Linked DNA regions of Saccharomyces cerevisiae S288C. The protein of the gene in region 2 interacts with the protein of the main gene of each other region in a pairwise test. Each region holds a gene or a part of one and is shown on either strand. Other genes may lie near its edges.

Region 1 (3,210 bases), on a different chromosome or scaffold from region 2:
ATTTGTTTTGAGATAAAGAGCCTAGATTATCCCAAGGAAATGGAACTACTCGTTCGGTAACAATAAATGTGGATTGGGGGTCGGAATCAAATGTCTCCAGCACCGTACAAAGTCCTGGAATCTTCAAAATTTTGCTCTTGTGTACAGCATTTAAAATTAAAGATTCATTTTCTGGAGATCTTTTTGCCTTAAAAACTGTTACTGGCAAGGAATCTGCCTTCCTTGTACCATCGAAACATTGCCAAAGGGCGGTTTCAGTGATTGCAGTTTCCTCTATGGTGTATGGGAACTGGAAATTCGAAATAGATTTGAAAATGCTGGAAAAATTCATCACTTACAGATACTTGTTCACCAATAAAAGCAACGATAGTAACAGTGTCAAACTCTCGACTAAATAACTTGACGATATTATTGTTTTTAAGATACTTATATTTAATATAATCATAATATAAACAGACAAAGAGAAAGGGCCTTTTTGAAGGTGAAAAAAATAGAAGATGTGCGCGAAAGCGTGAAATTCAAAATGCGTATTGCTTTAAACTTTCTTTACCATCAATCGAAAAACTGTCTCGTAGAATGTTAATAGCCGTGTTATTTAGCGCATGTATCTATTCACCAATGTGGCCTTTAATATCCGTTCCACTCATTCTTCTGGTGTTGCAAAGATTAACATAGTTAACTGAGCAACACCAAAGAAAACCTAAACGAAGGTTATATGGAATTAGCCTCAGCATAGAGTCCTTTGAACGTTTTATTGAGCGGTAAACCAACTACGTTATAGTAATCACCTTCAATTTTTTCAATTAGAATAGCACCTTGCCCTTGTATTTTAAATCCACCGCCAACCTCCAGCCCATCTCCGCTTTCTACATATTCTTCCAATATTCTCAAAGGTATTTTGTTATCAAAGTATACCTTGGTTTCATCTCGGAATGGTACCAATTCAAAGTTTTCTCTGCCGTACCATTTAATTAAAGTCACAGCGGTGACAACGTTAACTGGTTCATCATCTTCATAGCAAAACTTCATTAAAAACTTCTTTTGGACCTCTTTTGTTTTAGGCTTCTCGTAGATTCTCCCACTCTTATCTATAATAATTGTGTCTGCACATATGATAAGCTTAGGTTTATCAATTTCATTTGGGTTTTCATCTTCGTAATCTGTCAAAATCTCGATTATATTCTGCGCTTTATGCCAGCTAGTATCGCACACATATCCAATCGGATCGGTAGAATAATTCATTTTATCAAGATTCTCTTCAAAAGTAGAAACCATTGTTTTTAAATCGGTGATTCCCATTATATCGTGTAAAATTTCATACCTCCGTGGAGAGGTGCTGGCCAAAATGATATCATACTTAGAACATATAAACCCGATTACGTCGGGTGGCAGTTGACTATTTCCAGACATTACGTTTGGTGAATGTGCTCTTTTTTTGATGCGGTCAGATGTTCCTTTCTTGTGTTCAACTGGGTTATTTTGCCCTTACGTCTCTTCACGCTTTTCGTCTGGTAAAATACACGAAAGGTAATAAACAAGCAGATGCACCTGTGTTCTTTAAATAAGGTTGCTGCTGCTACAAAATACATATTACATAGGGCGGACATTGCTTAGCACTATCCTCTCTTTTATTCTATAAATCTTTTCTGATTGAACCTCTTCTTTATCTCCCGTGTGATCTCTACTTGTGTTAGTTGAATCCGGTAGTCCAACGTCTTCTTCTTGTATTTGTATGTTTGGGTCGTTGGCAGTCGATGAGCCTTTACTTTGACCAGCATTTGTTGTTTCATTCTCTTCAGTCGGTGATAGTAGACCGGCTGTCTTTTTATGTACATGTGCAGCATTTGGGAAAGCAAGCTCCGTGCCAACAAGTCTCTCCCAGCTTCCCTCATACAATCTATTTCCGATTCTAAACAACGGAGCATCTGTTTCTAAACCGGAATATTGTAAAATTGCGCTCTTTGCTATCTCGGTCCTCTCTTTGTAATTGCCGCTGGGAATATCAACACTGATATAAACGGTTTCTACTTCCGTTTGATCATCTGCTTCTGGTATTGGTGAGCTGGTTTTTTTTGTCATTTGTCTCTTTTTGATATCAGCATCTGAACCAGCTTCTGCCACACAATCAAAATTCCAATTCATTTCTTCACCACTACTCAAAAACTCGGTATTCCCATTCATCGTTAAAACCCATTTTCTGTCACTAAATGGTATATAGGTAAAGGATGTTTGATCATCAGTTTCATCTATAGTATCGTAGCTTTTTTTAAGAATTTCGTATTTGTCTAATGAGCAACTACCACTTCTTATTTTATCACCATTTTCATTCAAAGACATCCGAGGATTATCGTATCCCAGCAAGCTCATTCCAAGGGCAATCTTAGATGCAGCGTGTGTGACCAACAGTATGCACTCAACATTTGGATATTCCTTTTCTACACGTTCAATAAATAAGGGCCAAAATTTTTTGAATCTCATATACATCTCCTGTTCTGTCTCACCCTTTTCATTTGGTGTTAATGTAGAGTCCCATTCTTGGCTAATGACACCTGGAAAAAATTTGCTTAGTATCTCATATCCAGCAGGTACTGGAATAACAGGTTTTCTATCAGGTCTATACCATTCCCCGATACCCCTTTCTAGATAAACAGGTATTTCTAACAGCTTAGCTATCGGTTGTACAGTCTCAAGACATCTATAAAATGGAGAAGCGAAGGCGGCCTCTGGTTGATTATCCAAGGACAAAAGGTAATGGGCCAACTCTTTGGCTTGCTGGACTCCGTGTTCTGCTAAAGGAACATCGCTATCAATTCCTGTAAGTGGGTCAGGATATGGACCCTCCGGAAGCCAGTTGGATCTGTATCCATGCCTTGCGATATATATCGTGTTCACCACCATAAAATGTATTGAAAAGGAGTAATATGTTATTGAGGTAGAAAAATGAAGGTAATTAGGGGAAAGCCTACTGAGGATTTATGGATAGTAGAGATTCTCTTCCACCTTGCCCATAAGTATTCACCAATATTTAACGTATATATATTAATGTGTCCTATTTTTCAGCTTTAAACCCGGCGCGCCTTATTAACGCACTCCTTTTCTCTCACTGAATATTTATATAAATATTTATCTAAATAAAATCACATAAAACAACCTGGCCAGGTTAGCCCCCTTGTTTCTCTTCGTTCATTTAAAGGGATACAAACGGAACAA
Region 2 (3,575 bases):
CCCAGGAATCCGCATACCAAGTAAGAATGTAAGAGCAAATTACATCCCCTGCCAGTGTTAATGACATAAACAGCCCAATTTTATCCTCTGTCATATTGATGGCATTTAAAAAAAGCGTCAAAACTTGATTTGTTAAACCATATGATAGAAGTCTAAGAAAGACGGACGCCCATAGTAGCTTTATGTCTCTACTTGCACACTTGAATTTAACAAAAATTTCCGGTGCCATGGTTACGTTAACTTTAGAAATATTGGTAAATCCTTCTGCAATGAGCTTTTTCGAGATGTGAAAAATTAGTAGAGTTTTCTTTCGTGCCTTTTTTTTCGGTGCGTCAACTTTAATATATAGTTATAATTGCTCTATAATGCTAGGCAAAAATAAACGAGAAGGAAGGTGAGTTTTAGTTCATTGACTAAAAATGAGCAAAAAAAGTCAGGAGTTTTTGTTTTGAAGGGCACTTCAACTCTCGAACTATGGATTTACAGTTTCTTCCTCGTCTTTTTAAGTAAAGTATTTTCAAATGACCAAAATGTAAATAAATTTGAAAAGGGCCCTTCTTTACGAAAAAAAGATCAAAAAAATGTTCACAAACTATTTCACGAAATCAAGACAAACATATAAAGGAGAAATACAGTGGAGATTAGATAGTAATGTTCGTAATACCTGTTACAAAGTACTTTCTATTGTTATAAAACATTTACATATTGTGTAAACCAATAATATCACTCAAAAGGAAAGTAAATCGATTTCTTTGGATGATGTATGGTTATTATTGGTATTCTGTTCTTGTTGAACAGCTCCACCATGCATTTCACCAAATTCGTCATCATCATCTTGATCTGTACTTAGTGCAGTTGTGCTATTAGATACAGGATTAGAGGCAGCGGCTTTCGCTTGGGATGCTTTAGGAGCACTAGGTGCTTCTGCAGATGCCTTTGCAGTTGAAAAGAGAGAGCTAAAAGGATCTACTTTTTTAGGTTCCGCAATAGCTGGGGTAATCTTGCCTTGGTCGGTAGTGGAGCTGTTATAAAAAGGCATTGAACTCGTGGTGGCGGGCATACCCTCAATTGGGCTCGTGTTTAGCAAGTTAAACGAATTAGCAGGGTTGGTAACAGGGACGGCGCTTTGAAATTCTGAAAACTCGTCATCATCGTCCTCTTCTTCGTCCGCCTTCTTTTCATCTTCTTGTATGAGTTCTTTAGATGGTTTTGAAGACTCACTAGAAAAAAAGTCAACAAAGTCCTCTGGTTCTTGTTTTCCTTGCCCAGGAGTAGATGTGGCTCTCGAGGCATTATCGTTATATCCATTTTGACTAAAAGAACCATCTTCGTTATCTTCATTGTCACTATCGAAATCAGCACTCACGCTAATGCCGTGCACTTTCGTTGACGTGAAACCTGCCTTCGAATTCAAACTGCCATCAGCAGAGGCAGATCCTCCAGCAACGCCCTTGTACTTCTTTGCCGTTTCTCTTGCCTTTTTTCTTTCTGCGCGTATCTTATTATCGTCGCTCAATAATTCAATCAAAGCTTTGACCCTAGTTCTGACATTAATTCCTTGATCTCTTCCCTGGGAATCAATATAGTGAAAAGTTTCTAAAATCCTAATTAAGTTAATGCTATTCCTTGTATCATCGATAAACCTTTCAGAACCGTGTTTGATAAGGTAATCGAGCAATTGCAAGGCTTTATAAATTTGCCTCCACTCACTACCTGCCTTTTCAGTGAACCTTCTGAATATCATGGACAAAATTTCTTCTCTTTCCCTGAAATTGTAAGTTCCTTGAGAAATCTGGTCCATTAAAGTGGATGAGGCACCCCAAGGCTCGTTGTTTGTCGCTTCACGAACTTTCCCCTCCATCTCAGTATAATTGAAAACAACATTTTGAGCTTTACGAAAATATTTCTTGGCGTCATATAATGACATGTTGGCTAATGTATCCTCTAAACTCATTCTTCCTAACACTAATTAACGATGTGATCTCCTATCGACGTCCCTACACCTTCCTGAATTGGTAATTTTTGCTTTCCTCAAATAACTGTATCTACAAATCATTTCATGATTCTTCTAGTCCCCTTTTACTTTTCCTAATCACCTCGCACAACGTACGGTGTGACATGTATAAGAAATTGAAGCCATGTTTATAGAGTATATACAAAAAAGCCTCTCATGGTTATTATTCAAAGTCACTCTACGTATGCAAATAAAATAAATGTATATACTGAGGTGAGGTACTTAAATGCTTATTGAAGTAAATAGCGAACGTTGCTGAATTGGCTTAGCAAAATGGTTAACCACTGAATGACCTCGTTTCTATCAATATCAGCCAATCCTTCGTGAAGGCCGGGCAAAACTTCCCCGACAGATCCCTCAAACTTACTAGGTGCTAAAAGAGAGTACTTCATCCATTCCCTGTCTTTCAGTCCTCTGTGTGTAATAAATAATTGATCAATTTGCTTTGATTTGCTATTGGATCGTTGCAGTTTAATATAGCTCTTGATTTTTTTGTAAAAAGCCCAAACAGGTAAAGCTTCCCTACACTCTTTATAGAGAATACCATTTTGTTGGTCAAATTGGATGCTATCTTCCTGTGTGGCAACTTTTAATAAGTCCAGAACCCTTTTTGCTAAGCTGTTCACTTCATCGTCCTGGGGAAATGCTGAAGATAGATTAGAGTGCCATGCGATATACCAGTTATATATTTTCTTCAGGTAAACATGTGTATTGAATCTTGCCAGTTCGTTTTCACTCAGCATCAGCGTTGTCAAACCTACAAACATGGCCATGGTGTTGTGTAACTTGTAGTCAGAATTGGTAAATTTTTCCAACCAAGTTGGGCTATCGAATACGGAGTTACTATGATAGACTGCGCCTGAAGTATCATTGGCATTAAACTGAAAATGTGCAGCGGGCACTCCAAGATGGTACTGAAATGAAGTGTAACTAGACAACCCATCAAGTAGAGAAATAGTGGCATTAGAAGTGTATTTCCAATGGTCGAACAATGACCAGTCTTCGTGCCCATTAAATTCCGTGAGCTTAGCAGCTTCGTATATCACGTCTTGTAAAAGTGGGTTGGCTTTACAGTGAAAATTTGTCCCAGAGATTGCATTATCTAGATTTAGGTATACCAAGGCCCTTCTCCTGAGAATCGCAGCATGAGCTTCTGCATAATCTGTAGATCCCAGAAGGCCGGATCGTTCACCATCCCAACTTATTAGTTTGATAGGACGCAGTGGCTTCCAACCATGCTTAAGTAATTTACTCATTCCTCGTGCAATTTCTAAAAGAATAGCGCTGCCACTATTTGCATCACCGGCGCTACTCGAGGCGAGCGAATCCCTATGAGCTCCGATAATAATCTCCCCCTCAGTGAATATACCAGGGATACTAACCTCTACACTACTCATTTCCTTGATGTTGTAAGTTAGCTCATTATGCAAATGGACTTTATCGATAGAGCTTGAAGGTCCAGTGAATGATCCAAAATCTTTTATATTACTACCGGGCCCAATTTGAAAACCCCTGCCATTCAATCTTTCTAAAATTGGTTGGACATCTCTAGCACTCATCG

The links.
Region 1: the proteins of ENT3 (region 2) and YOR111W interact in a two-hybrid assay, tested with the Saccharomyces cerevisiae proteins (2 studies listed by BioGRID).

What each region holds. Positions count from the first base shown.
Region 1 is NC_001147.6:528,629-531,838, reverse strand, and holds YOR111W (nucleotide diphosphatase), read right to left. Parts: upstream 1,411-3,210; coding exon 712-1,410; downstream 1-711. Other genes in the region: COPI-interacting protein CEX1, read right to left, coding at 1-331; transcription factor TFIIIC subunit TFC7, read right to left, coding at 1,591-2,898. UniProt on the Saccharomyces cerevisiae protein: Nucleoside triphosphate pyrophosphatase that hydrolyzes dTTP and UTP. Can also hydrolyze the modified nucleotides 5-methyl-UTP (m(5)UTP) and pseudo-UTP. Has weak activity with CTP.
Region 2 is NC_001142.9:654,010-657,584, forward strand, and holds ENT3 (Ent3p), read right to left. Parts: upstream 1,955-3,575; coding exon 728-1,954; downstream 1-727. Other genes in the region: YJR124C (uncharacterized protein), read right to left, coding at 1-229; VPS70 (putative zinc metalloprotease), read right to left, coding at 2,245-3,575. UniProt on the Saccharomyces cerevisiae protein: Involved in the recruitment of clathrin to the Golgi network and endosomes to form clathrin coated vesicles. Plays a role in the trafficking of clathrin between the Golgi network and endosomes.